Linked DNA regions of Daphnia pulex. The protein of the gene in region 2 purifies or fractionates together with the protein of the main gene of each other region. This does not show direct contact. Links are inferred from orthologs where the notes say so. Each region holds a gene or a part of one and is shown on either strand. Other genes may lie near its edges. The genes, in order: derlin-1-like, selenoprotein S-like and derlin-2-like.

Evidence for each region.
Region 1: the proteins of selenoprotein S-like (region 2) and derlin-1-like purify together in Homo sapiens (affinity purification with western blotting; 6 studies listed by BioGRID and IntAct, with this or other methods). This does not show direct contact. The link is inferred for Daphnia pulex from reciprocal best matches to the Homo sapiens genes SELENOS and DERL1.
Region 3: the proteins of selenoprotein S-like (region 2) and derlin-2-like purify together in Homo sapiens (affinity purification with western blotting; 3 studies listed by BioGRID and IntAct, with this or other methods). This does not show direct contact. The link is inferred for Daphnia pulex from reciprocal best matches to the Homo sapiens genes SELENOS and DERL2.

The regions. Positions count from the first base shown.
Region 1 is NC_060018.1:4,692,992-4,698,605, forward strand, and holds derlin-1-like, read right to left. Parts: upstream 3,132-5,614; 5' UTR 3,016-3,131; coding exon 2,863-3,015; intron 2,798-2,862; coding exon 2,594-2,797; intron 2,509-2,593; coding exon 2,360-2,508; intron 2,303-2,359; coding exon 2,192-2,302; intron 2,133-2,191; coding exon 1,985-2,132; 3' UTR 1,844-1,984; downstream 1-1,843. Other genes in the region: MPN domain-containing protein-like, read left to right, coding at 1-88, 168-314, 387-610, 687-856, 920-1,404, 1,474-1,740; dnaJ homolog dnj-5-like, read right to left, coding at 3,904-4,008, 4,096-4,227, 4,288-4,631, 4,691-5,016, 5,083-5,114, 5,208-5,614. UniProt on the Homo sapiens protein: Functional component of endoplasmic reticulum-associated degradation (ERAD) for misfolded lumenal proteins. Forms homotetramers which encircle a large channel traversing the endoplasmic reticulum (ER) membrane.
Region 2 is NC_060021.1:7,800,038-7,805,878, reverse strand, and holds selenoprotein S-like, read right to left. Parts: upstream 2,952-5,841; 5' UTR 2,839-2,951; coding exon 2,715-2,838; intron 2,649-2,714; coding exon 2,523-2,648; intron 2,455-2,522; coding exon 2,348-2,454; intron 2,286-2,347; coding exon 2,129-2,285; exon of another isoform or gene 2,026-2,128; coding exon 1,943-2,025; 3' UTR 1,599-1,942; downstream 1-1,598. Other genes in the region: CB1 cannabinoid receptor-interacting protein 1-like, read left to right, coding at 839-992, 1,196-1,360; uncharacterized protein LOC124194966, read left to right, coding at 3,688-3,764, 3,823-5,065. UniProt on the Homo sapiens protein: Involved in the degradation process of misfolded endoplasmic reticulum (ER) luminal proteins. Participates in the transfer of misfolded proteins from the ER to the cytosol, where they are destroyed by the proteasome in a ubiquitin-dependent manner.
Region 3 is NC_060027.1:833,763-840,274, reverse strand, and holds derlin-2-like, read right to left. Parts: upstream 3,576-6,512; 5' UTR 3,431-3,575; intron 3,368-3,430; exon of another isoform or gene 3,339-3,367; 5' UTR 3,229-3,338; coding exon 3,136-3,228; intron 3,073-3,135; coding exon 3,007-3,072; intron 2,949-3,006; coding exon 2,781-2,948; intron 2,711-2,780; coding exon 2,588-2,710; intron 2,500-2,587; coding exon 2,336-2,499; intron 2,251-2,335; coding exon 2,103-2,250; 3' UTR 1,416-2,102; downstream 1-1,415. Other genes in the region: transmembrane protein 17B-like, read right to left, coding at 1-152, 223-326, 415-526; high-affinity choline transporter 1-like, read left to right, coding at 4,954-5,152, 5,241-5,351, 5,426-5,593, 5,663-5,811, 5,870-6,149, 6,212-6,306, 6,369-6,491.

The DNA.
Region 1 (5,614 bases), on a different chromosome or scaffold from region 2:
ATTTACTGGTAGAGGAGTCACATTGCAAATGTTACTTGAAGATAACATCCTTCAACCAAAAGAAGGTGCTATGTCACTAGAGTACATGGTAAACATTATACGATATTTCTTTTAGATTTCTTATCTTCCAAGTTTAAAACTTCTATTCCCTATGTGAATTTATTTAGGGACAAAAATTTAATGGGGACTTACTGGCAGATGGAAAAATTTTTTCTGCTGAAGTTCAAGAAGTCTTTAGTTCACCCTCGGCGTGGGCCTTGCGCTGCAAAAAAATTGTTAATCCCGAACAGAAATATGGTTGTGGTTGGTCATCAGTAAGCATAAAATATGTTTAAATTCTCGTTATCAAGTTCAGTAAATTTAGTTCAGATTTTTAAATGATGTAGGTACGATATTGTGGCAGGCCTTTGGATGTATATAAAAACCAATGGATGCGTAAACGACGTTTAGAACAGGTTAGCGACAACTCGACTCCTGATGATTGTAATTTGTCCACTAATGAGCCTGTACTGCTGGAACCTGAACCAGTAATTCAAATGAGTATGAAACAAACTGTCGGTGATCGACAAATTATAAAGCACGAAACGCTAGGAAACAGGACAAGTATCGAGTAAGTAGACAAAACAATTATTTTAAGTTTGGAGTTTGTTTCTAGTTTCTATTTCTTATTGTCGTTTCGTTACCAGGGATCCAAATTTGTTAGTTGAAGCCATATCGTTCGCAAATATAGGGAAACTTCAACCTTTTCTAATATCGTTAAACACGACTGCTCTTGTTGTAATGGACGTTCATTGCTCTCTAACGCGTTCAGAAGTTGTTGGATATTTAGCAGGCCAATGGGACATTAACACGAACAGTGAGTGCTAACTGATATGTTTAGAAAACACATACCCACAATAATTTGTGTGATTCATTTTAGCACTCACGATTAAACAAGCGTTCCCTTGTTTAAATCGAGTTACGACTGATGATAAACGAGGCCAAGCTACCGAAATCAAAATCGCTCAATCAATAGAGAGTGCTGGACTTTGCTTGGTAGGATGGTATCATAGCCACCCTTTATCACCGCCCACTCCAACTGTGCAAGATATTGATTCACAACTCGAGTATCAATTAAAACTCAAAGGAACTGGTGATCAAGGTTACCGACCTTGCGTAGCGATGATTTCATGTAATGAAATATTCCTTACTATTATATGTTATCATTACCTGTTCACTTTACTTTTTTATTCAGCACCGTTCCATCACGCGGAACCTAGCCAATCAACGTCGACCACTCACTTGACGTGCTACTGGGTGTCTCCTCCTACCGAATCTCGACCACTTGAACTTGGACGTCCTATGGCCATGCAATACAACGTTGTGTATGACGCCACCGTCAAAGATGACGTAGTCCCTAAATTGGTAAGGCAAACTTTACTAGTTCTCTAATGACATTACAACCAATCTTTATTTAACATTTTGCTAAATTAGGAAGCTTGCCTTAAATTTTACCGTGATTCTCCTGACCGCACAAATTTTGACGAAAACTGGTCTGATGAACTCACGATTCTGGATAAGTTGAAAGCGACTTTGAAGTCCAGCTTACAAAGCGAAGATGATGTGATTATCGATTTGGTTGACACACTCAGCAACATGACCAAAGTGAAAACGAAAACAGATCTCACCGACGTAAAATCTCCTGCAGAACCTATAGACCCTGAACCCCAAAACAACCTAAAAGAAATCTCGTGTATGTGAGACAAGAAAATCGCGAAATCTATGAATCGAGGTTTTTCTTTGCAAAATTCCAGCCATCTGGGAATCATGCGTACAAATAATACATATGAATAAAAGAGTGAGACAAATTTAGTAAATTTAAATTTCTCTTAAGATTAAAGGGATACATTTTCCAGAAATTGATGGGAGGAGGGACGATAATCGTTTCTTTAACATAAACACATCAAAACATTAGAATCGGGGTTTAATTTTGGCCATTGTGAGGCTAGTTTTGGCCACCCAAAACATTTCCACGTCCCCAGTCATAGCGTCGAGGACCTGCATCCTGTGCAGCTGCTCTAAACTCAGCCCTAGGTTGAGGTGCCGCGCCGAATCCTTGTACTCCGCTTCGTTGATTCGGAAAATATTTGTATCTGAAAGACGAAGTATTTAACATATTTGCTAAAGTTAAATAAATAAAATGGCGTGTTACAGGAATTGCGGAGTAGTTAAGAGCAAAGGACCACCAAATTCTTGAGGATACTGCATCGTGAGGAAAAAGTATAAATGTCCCACGACAATTCCAACAAGTTCCATGACTCCACTATTGTAGTAAAAGAATTTAGTATATCACAAATTACATTATTTGCAGTTTCTTTACCCTCCAGCAATGATCAAGTTAAATCCAAGCAAGACCCAAGGAAGATACATTGCCTTGAACTGTGTTCCAAACCAGAAATTGACAATTGTGTCCTTATTTAGCTGACACCAAACATACAGTACACTCAGTACCATTGGATCCATCAAATACTAGAAAAAAATTATTGTTATTGTAGTTATTATGAGGTCTTTTAGGAAGCAACATGTAGTCGGAATCAGGAAACCAAATACTTACAGGAAAATCAGCTAGGAGTCCAATTATGACACAGCAAATCCAGTTGAATAGCAACATGAAAAAGTAGTCAGCTTGTCGCCCATTGAACAGTCCAGTTTCAAGTTGAAGAGAATAGTTATACAAGAAATACAAGTTGATGAGAAAGTGAAATCCTGTTTTTGGTGTTATTGGATAATAAAATAATGCTGTTGCTGGTCTCCATATCTATTGAACAATCAATTTAAGAATAAGAATGATGTTTTCTAAAATATTCAACTACAACATATTACATGGAATGATTCAAATATAGAATGGTAATCCAAGATAAGATATTTTGGACTCAAAATGGCAAATCTGCCAACTAGTGACAACGCAATAGTTAGTCCGAACCAATGCCTTGTGAAAATAGGCAAATTTTTGAACCAGCTGCTTAGCTCACTCATCTTTAAAAAGGTTTCAAGCCACTTTTCCAAATTATCTGAAAGGAAATGTATCAAAGAACAATGTGTATCTCAATCGAATTCAAGTCAAGATCAAATCGAAGCAGACGAACACTTACGTGTCATTAGAGGATAAATACAAAACAAGGCCAAAACCCAAAATCAAATCGCACAGTCATCCCCTCCAATGCCATCTATGAATCACCAATGGAAAAGAATAAAATAAAAATAAAAAAAAAAGGTTAGTATAATTAGAATGATGATAGGACTATTGATTTCTATTCAATAAAATTAATTCGCCAAGACCTTAGTGCTCGGCGCAGTTGAACCGAAACAGTTAATACACTACCAACGATAAAGAAAATCCTTAAAACGATTAGCGTTATGAGTATGACTGTTTTTCCTCATAATTTGTGTTTCTAAAGGCAGGAAAGCAAATGTGTGGTAGAAGACAGATTCCAGATTCGAAATGCATCCTGCAACGAGTCGAATAAAAACTAATCATATTAATTTTAAAGGGAAAAAAAGAAGAATAACTATTTTACCACGCAAAGGAATCGTATGATACCGGGTTGTCGACAAAAACTTTCCTTATTAAACTGTACAAATTCTCAACACATGCTTAATCTGATGGCAACACAGATAAGTTACCATGTGTATTAAACTGGGAAGGAAGGAACAAATCATTGGGGAGGGGGGGGGGGACCTCGTTACGAGATTCTACGACAAAAGAAAATTTCCAAATACCAGACAAAGCAAAATTGTTTGAAAAAAAAAGGCACCAAAGGTATTAGTTACAAATCACCCGATAGGACACTTTAGCAATAGAAATCAACAACAACAAAAATGATCAATGTCATAATTTTGAAGACAATAAGGCGTTTATTAGAATCAACTTGATTTACGGCCACCTCCACTGCTCGGTTGCCCTTGGCCGGGAACTATACGGTACTGAACGCGATGAGAATTAGATTGCAAATGACGAAGATGTCCAGCCTAAATTTAAAAAATTTATTCCATTTAGACAAGACCTAATACTAATTTAATCAACAATCAAGACATAGAACAAACGAAGTAAAATACCTGACAATTTGCCCATTCTGTGATATCATAAACGGCACCTTCCATGCAAGCGTAGTATTTAGAACGAAAGCCCATGTATCGTGATTCAGCCCATAGGTCCCCTTCGCGGGCGGAATGATGAATTTTGCAATCCTATTAAAAAACAAAATGAATGAAAAAAGGAAATTTTTTATTTTCGCACTTTACATGTACCTGACAATATCGAGCAGCATAGCAAGGCCGATTAGTTTTCACTCTTCTGTGACGCTTGGCACAATTGGTGCACCGAATCGTGTTTGCGGCCTCGTCCATTTTGGCATGCAACCGTGAGAGTAGCTCGTTGAGCTCGGCCCAAGCAGATTCCATCTCGTCTGCTTCTTGTACTAATTGGTCGTAGTGGCTGCGTCGCTCTGGCTGACCAACCAATTCAAAGGCATGCGCTAAGATTTTGAAGGCCTCTTCAGCTCCCCGTTGTCGATTTTTATCTGGGTGAACTAAAACAGCTTGTCGCTTGTAGTAACGTCGAATCTCTTCGTCGGAGCAATCTCGTCGAACACCTGAGAAATAAAATCTATAGCGAAAATGTCAATTAAATGTGAAGTCTACATCCAATTACCCAGGATGCTGTATGGATCTCTTCCTTTGCAAGCCAATAAACGATGCATAGCTTCTTCTCCGGTAGCAGGTAAAGGGATATTGGCATTTAAACCACCTAATGTGCTGCTTCCTTCGTCAGCTGATTTGCGTTGAAAAAATCGGAAAAATTCACGAATGGACGGCAACCAATTAGTTGTAACATATTGACGGCAAGTCCGTGTCTGAAATGATATCCATTCAGTGACCAAGAAACTTTTCTCCCACAAAACCGTGCGGCATTGCTGAAGTCCCACCCAAATCAAATTGCAACTCATCTGAATAACGTCAGCGCACAAGTTGTACAACCTGATGAAAAGAGAGGTGTCAATTAACATCAAATTCAAACAAGATATAAATAAATACGGATATTACCACAAGAAGAACCATCCACAGAAACGAGCAAGCTGTAATTTTAAAAGTAAAAGAAGAATTTGTGAATTTTATGAATGAAGGCAATGCCAAATGTAGGAGGAATATCCTTATTGATAGAAACCCACCTTAGGGAAATAGGCACGCGCAAGTGTTGCACTGGTGCTGGGAGGTGGGTTTCTTTTGGTTTGGCGTCGATTAGTTTTTTCACTGTCCTTTTCTTTTACTTTGATTTTAATCCTTTCATTCTTCTTTAGATCTTTCGTGCGAACTTCCACTGGAGTAACGGATTCATCGTCCGATGGTGGTAGCTCAAAAGAAGGACTATCAATCAAAGACGGTCGGTTCTTTTTTTTAATTCCACCTAGATCTGTTTGAGACCGGACACTGCGTACCGATTCATTCACAGAATGCCAATTTTTCTCGCTCGGGCTTTTGGCATTGCCTTTCGTATTATTTCCAGATGCCAAATTGTTGTTTATTTTCAATGGTCTCTTCTGGTTAGTATTGACTTGGCTTCTGTGATTGTTTAAAC
Region 2 (5,841 bases):
GAACGATTTTTTTTTGTTTTTGTTTTAATTTCACGCTTTTCGGCGTCGCCTCGCCAGCCGCCTAGGATCCATCGGCAATCATTAAAATCATCACCAAGTCACTCAACATAAACACATTAAGGCGAAATGACGGTGGACTAGCGTCCGACAGCAATTTTGCGACCGCAGAGGCCTTTCTCCACTTAATCTCTCGATGGGCTTACGGCTCTGGGTGTAGGTGACTCTAATTATTAGACTCGGAGAAACAACAAGATTGTTGCTGCCGTTACGAGCCGCAAAACGAAGGAGATGGACTTGGATTTAAAACGATTCGTTAGCCTTACTAGATCTAGTAACATCCGGTACGACAAATAACAAGAGAAAGAAAGAGAAAAAGAGTTTTGGTGACTTATGAGTCGCAGAGGGACGTCAAAATCGATACTCAGTTGCCTTTTCTATTCGTTTGATTTCCCCCCATTCTTTCTTTTCCTTTTTTTTTCTTTTATTTTGTTCTTTCTTTTAGTTTTTTCGATCTTCATCGTCATTCTTTTTTCCATCTTCCCCATTTATGGATCATTAAGCTGCTGGCTGTTATTCCCCCCTGTTTCACCGTCCGTAACGATCTACTATGTTCCCTGACGAAGTGTTTTTCGCTGCTTCCGTCCTGCTCGTTTAGTCCATACGCCCGGCGATTCTGGTGGCTTCTAACTACGCTTTATTGGCAACAACAAAGTGCAGTATACCCAATAGAAAGCATGGCCGGCTGTTGCTTCTATATAAAAAAAAGAGGAATAAGAAAAAAAAAAGGGGGAAATCTTTCTTTTAACCCTATTTTTCTTCCAAATCAAATGAATTGCAGGGGGATCGCCGTGATGGAAAAATCGCTTGAAGTAACTGACAACTCATCCAAACTGGAAGATGAAAACGCTTCCAGCTATTCGGCCCAATTCCAGCTAGACAATCTGCAACCATCAAAGAAAGGACAAAGGGAATCGGTTTCCTTGCATGTGAAGGTAAATACTGTGTCCGATCATTTATACCCTTGTCACGAGCCGACAGTTGACATACCCTCCGTATTGCTCATTTCATCTCGTGGGACTGATAGCGCATTCCGGGGGATGTGTACTGTGCGGCCCGTGATGGATTTTCTTGAACGAGCCTGACTTTACTCGCTGTCAACTGCTCATGCAATCTATCGCTTTGTTTGCCTTTCTAGTTGGACGGCGGTTACGAGTTCACTACGACCTTGCAGATCAAAATCTATAAAGCAAACAGTACCCAACATTGCGACTGGGGCACGACCGTTCACTCCATCGAGTACGAATGTCACACTGACCAGCAAAACAACAGCATTAAAATCGTCAAAGATACTTTCCGATAAAGTTCATTCAAAGAGGAAGTCGGACAAACAACAAGATGTCTTCGATCGTCCTGAAAAACGACCACTTACATGTTGAAGCTTAACGCAATTTAAATTTTGTTTTGTTTCCCCCTGTCTCTACGAATCAGATTTCCAGAGAACAACGAGATCTCATCCGTTTAAAAAACGACAATTTAGTGCAAATTATGATCAAATGAGTCAAGTAGCGTGTCTCTATTTTTGAATGTTGATTGATTGATTGTTGTTTAATTTATTTATTGGACCCGCCAAGCGGCGAAGAACGCTGTTACATCAACCCTCAACCATGACAAATTAAGTCATTTACGCCAAAGGTTTCATCATTCAAGTGAAAAATCTTTAAAAGGATTGCAACACTTTTTCAGCGTGTCACCGAAAGGAAGGGGGTTACGTCAATGAAGAGGAGCTGTTAACACGGGCATAACACTAATCTGAGCAACAAGGAAAAACTCTACTGAACAACTTCATTTCGCCATTGGCAGGAAGACAAAGAGCCCGAGAGCGATCATATAATTGCGGCAGAAGGACTACACCCGCAGCACATATCCACTCCGAATTTTAACCTCATCCACCTCCAGCTCCTCCTCCACGCCTAGTCGGACGGTAGCAGACGCCACTGCTTCCATCCCCCATCAATGGATTGTACTCTGTTTGGATCGAATCATAATTTGTGTGCGTGTTAATGTTAAAAAAGAAAACTGCCTGTTCTAGAATACAATTTGTTGGATGCTTCAAAACAATAAATTTTACCTGGCTTCAACTTAGATTTGTCAGATTTCTTTTTTATTATACTCTGTTGCAGCTGATCATTACTCGTTTCTGCTGCAAGTGTTTTACTGCTTCTACCCAACTTGGTTCCGTATTTCTCCAAGTTCTTTAACTTCTCTTGGCGTAAGAGTTCCTCTTTCTAAACAATTACAGAGAAACACATCAAACACCATGAACTTGTTATAAGTGAAAATGACAGACCTCCTTTTGCTTTATGGCGTGTTCTCTAGCTTTTTTATCATACTGTTCTTGCATTTGTCTTCTAGCTAGCTCGACAGCCTCTTGCCTTGCAAGGATCTCTTCTGAGCCTGTATTGAAAAATTCATTAGCCCAAAGCCATTTCCTTTTATGTTTAATCAAGCAACTTGATTCTTACTAAAAGTTGAATATTCATCTGAGCTGGTCCTTTGAGAAGAAAACCAAAACTTCTGCACAAGGTAATAAATACCAACCACAATAAAAAGAAGTAGCCATGGATTGGTATTACTGAGGATGAAAAGAACTGCAAAAATATGTAAAAACAAATGAAGTTTTCGTAATGTTACTGAAACCATACAAGTTAACCTACTTTTCTCTAAAATACCCTGTTCAATGCCACTTGGTCCCTGCTTGTGGATAGTTTCGTGGTGATTACTATCCAATTCCTCGTCAACTACGGTCTCAACCGTAGCCCATTCGTCCGATTCTGTCATTTTCACTTTTTTTAAAACAAATAATCTACAACAACCATCGCTCTTGTTGCTGACGAATGCCTAGTCACTAAATGGTAAATGTTGTCTGCGGAAAATAATACTTGTATATTTTCTTCCCAGAAACAGCGATACCTATGCCATCTAGGAATGAAATTTAAAAAATCTCAAGCCTCTGGGTATGTAACGCAATAACGCAATGAGCATCGTCGTTCGAATGTTGCGAAAGGCCGAAATATACAAGATTTTTGTCCAAGGTTCACACCATGGTCTATAAACTGGTTAATAGAAAATAGGTGCCTAGGTTTATAGTAAACCAGTTTATAGATCATGGTTCACACCAACCTTCTGGTAGACTTAGGGCAATACGCAACGACAGGATAAACGTTCCAATTTACCAATGAGCAACAAAAAAGCCATCGGTATTTGAAATTTAAATATTAAACGGTGAAACAAAACAACAACTTTTGTGTTTTTCTCGAAACTCAAATGTGGGGTCGTTTTCGATAAACGCCATCTAGGACTTGCCAAATGGACTACCTGTCAGCTTTTGTTTTTATTATGGAATTTCGAAATGTCAAAATAAGCGTAGCAACCGGATATTATTCACATCAGCAAAATTCTCAAGGTTCTCTGGACAGGCGTGTCCTATCCAGCAGAAAGATTTTACGTTTGGCAAATGGCAATAAACATTTCGAGGAAATCTAATGAAGATCCCGTGTTCAGTTAGTCCAACAAACAAAGCTCTTTTTTTGTCAGCCCTGCCATTATTATTTCCTCAATCAAAGAGTAAGCTTCTGATATTTATGTTCTTCCTAGATATTTCAACAAAAGATTTCAAAAAAATTTCAGATGGGTAATACTAATTCTGTCTCTGACATCTCATCTGCTACTGGGAAAATTCAAAACCAGACAACACAGTCAAACAGGTATTGCTTTTTAAAATAACCAAAATTGTATCCCACAATTATTCTTTGTCCGATTTAGAAATTCAGCATGGCAAGAGGGTGTTAAAGTTGGTACATCAGAGAGTGTGAAATATGCTATTCGAACAACTGACACAGAACATGCTTCCCCAGAATCTGAGAGTCTAACCATTTTTGACACTTTACAACACCTCCCAAATGAACTGACTAATCTGAAAATGCTTCAAGAACTCTCAGAAGACGTTTTTCGTGAAAGACAAAGAATTATCAAGAGATTGAGGGACATGGCCGACTATCTGGAAAAAACTCACAATGACGTTTTAATCGCCGATCGTGTTGGCACAGGTGTCGGTATTGGATCAGGACTCCTTGTCATTGGAGGATTAGTCGCTGCTCCGTTTACTGCTGGAATCTCTCTTGGCCTGACTGTTGCAGGAACAACGACTGGAATCTTGAGCGGAATAACATCCGCAGGAGCTAACATTACCGGTTATTTCTTGTCTAAAAAGGAGCTCACATCTTTAAAAAAGGAACTGGGTGAACACTTGCTACACCTCGAAAAACTCTCATCGTCTGACTCAAAGTACTTGGTCCGTGCCACTCGATTTCGCCCAACATTGGAGATGCTAGGCAAACTCTGTGAACAAAAATGGATGCTGTTGTTGACAACATTTCAAAAATTAATAACTCACGCTTTAAATGGAGATTATGCTCAGATCAGTCGAGCGGTAAATCACGTTGTAGACCCCGAAATCAAGTGCCTGATTCAAAAACTGCCTTTACCATTGAATCCTGAATCTCTACACGCTTTGGCTGAAATCTGCACCCTTTTAATAAGTCAAATTCGTAGTATCAAACAAGCCATAGCTGCTTTCTTAAACTACTTTAAAAGACCGGAATTGGCAAGACTAGCCATGATTTACGCGGGCTCAGCAGCAGCAGCGAGAGTGACAACGACTACCGGTGCTACAGCAGCTGATCTCATGTCTGCTTTCAAAGGAACGCCCATGGTCATGTCAAAAGCTGCCCGGACCGCAGCAGGTGCCTTAACCGCCGTATTTATCGTGATTGATGTAATCCACATGGTCAACATTTGCAAAGAAACGGGAGCGACACCAACCGTACAGGAGCTACGGAAAATGGCCGATGATCTTGAAGAGGAGATCAAATGTACTTCGAACGAGACTGGAGAGAAAGAGGAACAGCTCAATAAGTCAAGTGATATTGCGGAAGTAAATTCGCAAAAGATGGAAGAAACTCAAAAATTGGACGATCTGGAATTTTTTGATTGCAGAGAATATTGATCTTGATAACTTTTTATGACCGTAGTTTTATGAATATTCGATATTCCATTTTTAGCAGCTTGTTTTACAACGCACTGCGCACAAATACACCATATATTAGCTTGCAATGAATTCAACTTTTATCTTATTGATAAGTTTAAATGTTCTTTAACTTTACCACGTTTGGCTTGAATAAAGTCCCAAGTGTCAGAAGAAAAAAAAAGATAAAATACGCGATAAAAACGTCCGCCAAAAGGTATTTTCATTCTATTTAAAATGTGGGGTGCTGCTTAATTTTCAGTGCAAATACATTAATCAGTTGTCGCATATCAAAGTGAAATTCCTCCCAGTTCAAACCCCGGAGTTATGAGCGGACAGACGAACTAGAAATAGGACATTAGTGAGTAGCACATCCCACTTTCGTACTAACTGTTAACCGTTAACGTATCAATTTCTTGCCACAAAGTTGGTCAGAAATAGAAACGCTGAATTTCCTCATAGTCTGACGAATATGATTAGTCAACAAATAGAGCAGGAAGGATCAAAACATCGAAAAGTAATAAGACGGTAAGAATTTTTTCCCTACAGTTAATTTTAAATCTTCCATTTCCCCCCTTCCCCCAGAAAAAAATTATTTTACTTCGAACGATACGGGAGAAACAGTCCAATGGGTCAAATGATATTGACGAAGAAACAGAAGTAAATTCGCAAGAGTTGGGAGAAACTCAAAAACTGGAAGATCTGGAATTTTTCATCGCCTAGATTATTGACCTTTGCCTTGATGATCTTTTCTGACT
Region 3 (6,512 bases), on a different chromosome or scaffold from region 2:
AGGAGTGTGGTGAACCAGAAGGTGGACAGCTCTGCCACTTGCTCGCTCAGGTTGCCAGACATGCCCAAGTAGATCCTGGTGGCTTCCGTCACACAGCAGGCAGAGACTCCAATTCCAAGAAGGAGATACGAGAACCAGCCAAAACATTGGTGCTGCCAAATGTAGCAAGAGATGATGAGTGAAATGTAAGACAATGACTTTTTCTTCGTATTATGTAAATACCTTTGCCACAAATGATGCCAGGATGATCGCCAGCCACACTGGGTAGTAGACCAAGTTGAAGTATAGTGACATTTGCAGTACCAAACTTGATTGGACATCATAAACTTTGCTCCATAAAACAATCAAACGTTTAGCATAAAGTACGAGACGCAATAGATAGAACTTGAATGATTTGAGAAGAATTGAAGTTACCTATGTCACTTTGACCCGATACGAATGAGAAATCTTGAGGTATATCCGACAGACCTGGAAATATTCTATCGCTGAAAGAATCCACAACATTTTGAACTGATTGTCTTCCCATTATTTCATCGCTTTCGACGATGGCTTTTGGCTATGAACGAAATGACAGCCGATTGTTTTGGGCATTTCAAACTGGGCGCCATGGCAACGACTCTAGCAGAACAACTCAGCTGTTTTCATTCGTGACTTTCTCCCGTCACAGTATTACATGTGCTGTGTGGTACACGTACAAACTTGTTTTGTGAATAAAATACTTGGCGATTATATTAGAGCAAGTAAGCTGTGAAAAAACTTGTAGGATCGATGGCTGGAAAATTATTTTTCATCTTTCTTGTCCAGGTTTCACAATCCAAACATGGGAAACTGGCAACTGGAAGCAGCCAAAATGGGGATGTACATGATTTTCCCAGTTGGTTGTTTCTATTACTTTAACCAGGCAGAGTATTTTGAAGATTGGATGATCAATCTGAGGAGAGAAATGTACCCTGCCGAAAGCAGGGTGAACAAAAAGATGTTTGAGGACACCATTCGCCAAATGAAGGAGAAAGAGGAACGGGAATATCTCAGACTACTTGAGGAGAAGGAAAGAAAAAATAATGCCTAAGTTGTCTGTTTCTTAATTAGATTTATGTATACAAGAGTCAATTTCAACTAAATTTATTTGATTTCTTTCGTCATCGTGCAGGTTTGATTTCTACTTATCTCTTCAATTCTAGACTATAACATTCCCAACTCCAGTATCTGCTTCCACTATCTGGTGGACTAAACATCTTTAAGCAGTTCAAAAGATCCTTGAAGAAACAAAACAAAATTGAGGACTGCGTGTGTGATCAGGGCAGTGAACTCGCTGTAGCATAAGCCTTTCCCAATGCAGCATCATCTCTGTAGCAGGTCAGGATTAGAAAATCAAATGACTCCAAACAAATAGCAAGTCTTGTTAGTTTGACAGATTTGCGACCTTCAAGTTGTGTATTTGGAAATCTTTGGCGCATTCACTACAAACAAGGCGTCGTAATGCAATCGAGTTTTTTGGACATTTATGCTTCAGATGGGAATGTATCATTTTCAAGGTTGACAACTGCTCCTTCCTATTTGTTGGCTTGAAACAAAATCGCTGTGCGCTCGGTGCAAACTTGGACGTTCAAAGAACCTTTTCACTAGAATTCGCAATCGGTTATCTCAGATTGACTTATGGTCGGTCCGCCTCCCCTTCATCTCTGAGCTAGCGAAAAAGGGAATAGTCTTGTTTATTCACATCAATAGAATATTAATTCATTATCTAGTGCGCTCCGATTTTGATTGTGTGTTCCCAAAATGTTCGAGTTGGATGGGCGAAGAACTGCACTATGGACACTACGAGTACGGTTGATTGCGTGTAAACTTGACACGGTTAAAAGATGGCCATAAAAGGAGAAAGGGGAAAGCGCTGGATATTTGTAAACGTTGCAACAAAGCAGTATGTCAATGCTAGTCGGTCATTGGTAAGCGAAAGAAAACCGGGCCACTGTGTAGAAGGAATAATGAGGGCGAACATCGACAACTGTATATTAAACAAATTTCCATGTATTTTCTTTTGCCATTTAGTAATTTTTCAAAAAGACGATTGTGTTTGTTTCTCTTTTTTTTCTTTCTTTTCCTCACTGATTTTCGTTTTCTCTCGGCTGGTCGGCGACTGCGTCTGCCACTCCCGGAGCACCAGCACCGCCCCAATCGAAACCCCCAGGACGCTCGTCAGGAGCCGGATTGTAAAGAGGGTCTTCAGTGTGCGTGTCGAACAAAAGTTTCCTAGGGGGGGAAAAGAAAAGAAACCGTGAACCCCTTGACCGATCTTTGATGTTTTTCTTTTCGAGAATGCCAAATTGTTGCATACAGTAAACGAGGCGTGGCCAAGAGTCTTCTGCCTCCAGGCTGATTAGGAAACACATCTTCCAGGAAGAAATACAAGTGACCGATGGCGATCCCGAGAATGTCCACCAATACGCTATTGCCTAAAAGAACTGAAAAAGCCACGAGAACCCAAGGCAAATATGGGGCCTATAAAAATGTCAGGATAGAGAAAAAAATTATCGGTTAATTTTCGCACAGGGTGTTTTGAATTTTGCAGTTGCTTTGTCCTATTTACTCGAAAAGGTAGAAGGCCGAAGAAATTCATCCTAACGTAAGGATTTCTCCGAGCCCAAATATAGACGAACATCGTGGTGAGCGAATGTCCAAGGAACAATAAATTTACAAACCAAGCACATATCTAAAAACATGAGAAAAGCAAATAGTTAAAAAAACTTGAAACAGGAATTCATGCAAATTTTCATAATTACCACTGTTGTGATGCAGCCAAATATGAACATGTAAACAAAATCAGCTGTTCTACCTCTGAATGAACCCTCCTCCAACATTCTACAATAGCGATAGGTAAAAATCATGTTGAACAGAAAATTGAAGCTGAATGTCCCAAAAAAGAAGAATGGAGTCAGTAGCCTCCATATCTGCAAATACAAGATTACATGATTTGGCTACCATACAAAAGCAAACCAATCCTATTACCTCAAACTTTTGAGTGATGAGCAAAGGATTGAAATACAGTTGAAAAGGTGACACCACATCCAGTTGCTGAAAAGGAAATGTTTTGCAGTCGATTACTGAGTCCCTTTCAAAGTTTCGAGTGTTACTTACCACTGCAATTGAAGTGAGCAAGCAAACAGTGGTGTATGCCCGAGTTACTGGAGGCATCAACATATACTCTTGGCGTAATGTGTGGTAAGCCATGGTGCTTTCTTGTAATTGATTTCATCAACAGTCAACTAAGATGATGTTTTATCACTTAAATTGTATACTGTTATTGTATACAAAGGACTATGACCAGCTCAAACACGAACCTCAAATAAGAAAAACAATTTATGAATACCTAGAAATACAATCAAGAAACGATTTATCCAAAAATGTAAGGATTTCGCGAAACACTACCAACCATCGTTTTTCCCAAGAGTCAAATTGGTTTGTTTATTTTTTCTTTTAACAAACCCCCCTTGGTCGACGTGGACAATTTGTAGAGGCTACAGCAGAAACGGAAATGTCAAAAAAAGGGAATTCCAAAGATCAATTTTTGGTTGCTATTGCAACGGTGTAAATGGCGCCTCTTTTGATGTAGCAGACAACTTTTTGATTATTATTCCATCCAAGATTCGAGTGATTTGAACCGTTGGAACCTCAGTTTATTTTGACTAAATTGAATTTGTTGACGTAACCCCTAGTTTTTATTTTTCATTTCGGGTCTTGGCGATAAATCATCCATCTTCTACTTTATTTATTATTGGGAGGGAGATGATGAAACTGGAAGTAGGTGCATTCAGTGCAGTCTTGCAGATAAAACAAAAACACATGGTCGAGTGTCGTAGTTCGTATATTTGGTTTGAAAAATGGTTGGCTACAATTTCCACGGTTATTGACTTTTGTGAAACTCTAAATTCTTCTTAATGTGAAAGGATATATGCAACTTGAGTAACAGTTCATGCTGGGATAGGTGATTGAGCAACCATCTTCACATCACAAAACAAGTATTTTACTCTTACATAATTATTCGATGAGTGTGTTTTCTTTTTACTATAGCCTGGTACATGTTGACCGACCACAATTCATGTATCAATTTCTAGGAACAGATTAGGTAATAAAGAATACAAAGAAAGGAATTGGCTCTCTCATAAGATAGAAAATTACATAGCAGTAGCTTTCATTATTTTATCTGTAAATTCTACTACAGCTAGTAAGTTGTGTAATGATTTGAGATGCTGAAAGGCTTTTTTGTTTCTGGCAGAGCCATTAATGTATACTGGAACAAGGCCAGCAAGATGCATACCTTCTGTAATTCTATTTTTGGGATACCCTCATTTCTCCCTCTAACTCTTCCAAAGGCCACTTTTATTGAGTCTCTAGTACACTTCCCGTTATACCACGTCGTCTCTCCCCCAATGCAAAAATTCACTACACAACTGTTGCGTTTTGCAGTAAAATCTTGAATTGTTTTTACTTTTATAGGAGCACGAAATCTAGACGAGAGAGGTACGCCAATCAACGGTCGTTGCTACCAAAAACTCTAGTGCAAGAAATTGAGTAAAGGAAACTGGGCAGACATTACTCTCTTGCCTCATCATCGCCGTGACTACTAGAAGACAATCTAGTGTCTCGTTTGACGACCAAAAGATCACGTGACAGATGTGTATCATTTTCAACCATATCGTCGCGACGCTGAACATCCGCCGCACGTGCGCAGTCATATAGAGTGAGGAACATCGGCTGCAGTCGCACCTACGCCTGGCTCTCCAATCGGTTTTTGCTGTCTGACTAGACTGGCCGAGTGATAAGTTATAGCGACGCCGTCAAACGTAAGATATCGTCGTCGTAGCCTTTTGTTATTATCCCTATATTTCGGTTTTACCTTTTCAGTTGACCTTGTGACAATTTATCACTTTGGCTTGTCCAGTTTTTTGTTTACAGATGAACGTGAATATCGGTGGCGTCATCTCTGTGGCTTTCTTCTACTGTTTGATCCTGGCCGTTGGAATTTGGGTAGGATGGAAGGAAAAGAGGAAATTTAAACAGCTACAGCGGATGGAAAGCGGTGCTAACCTGTCGGAGAACATAATGCTGGCCGGACGTGATATGGGATTGTTCGTCGGAGTCCTGACGATGACGGGTAACGATGAGTGTTGTCCCGATTCAGTATACAAGAGGGGTAGATTTGGTTTCCAACAAGCAGGTTTAAACAACAACAACTACGACAGCGACGTGGGTAGCAGGAGGTTACATCAACGGCACCTGTGAAAGCGCCTTCACTGGTGGCTTTCTAAAATGCTCTACAATGGCGATCGGATATTCCATGAGCCTCTTACTTGGTGTGTGTGTGTTTGCCTCATTAGTGTGTCTATAGTAAATCATGTTTCATCATTTTTATTCTTTGGATAAAAAGGTGGAATGTTTTTCGCTAAACCCATGCGAATGGCCCACGGAGGTCGAGGATATGTTACCATGCTCGATCCCTTCCAGGAAAAATACGGCTCACGTATTGGTGGGCTATTGTTTTTGCCGGCCCTGTGCGGGGAGATATTCTGGTCCGCTGCTATCCTGTCGGCCCTTGGTGACGCATTAGAAAAACTTTTTTAAATGTTGGCTGTCAAAATGTTTTAATTTTAGCATTATGCAATAGGATCCATTTTCACCGTCATGCTGGGACTGGACAATACTCTGTCGATAATCATAAGTGCTGCTGTGGCTGTTACTTACACCTTGATTGGAGGCCTTTACAGCGTGGCCTATACTGACGTCATTCAACTGGGATGTGTTCTCTTTGGCCTGGTATTTCCATTTTTCAAATCCAACATTCAGTTGACTGAATTTCTCGTTGCAATCATAGGTATTCTGCATTCCGTTTGTCTGGACTCATCCGGCCGTTGACCACGAGGCTATGAGCGAGGTTGATTGGTTAGGTACAATTCCGCTGTCCTCTGTCGGTAGCTACGTCGACATTTATCTGCTCATCATCCTTGGCGGAATTCCTTGGCAAGTTTATTTTCAGCGGGTTTTGGCGTGTCGATCTCCTCGACAGGCCCAGTACCTGTCTTACATTGCTGCTCTTGGATGCCTTACCCTGGCCGTCCCACCTGCCGTTTTAGGTTCCGTTGCCCGAGTCGTTGGTAAATTTACCCTCTTGTGATTTCTTCTTACACGGTGATTAAAACTAAGCAGTTTGACACAGACTGGACTAACGGAACGGAATATGGCAAAGAAATAACCACACCCGAAGAAATCAAATCGATACTACCGTTAATTCTTCAGTATTTAACACCAAAGGTATTTTATCATCATTTGATTTTTTTAATTGAAAATAATTATTTGGCAATACCTTTGGTTAGTGGGTGTCATTTATCGGTCTTGGTGCCGTCTCGGCTGCCATCATGTCATCAGCAGATTCGACTGTCTTGTCAACGAGCTCCATGTTTGTCCATAACATCTACAAGACTGTTTTCTTTCCAAAAGTTAGTAACTGGTTCTCATAA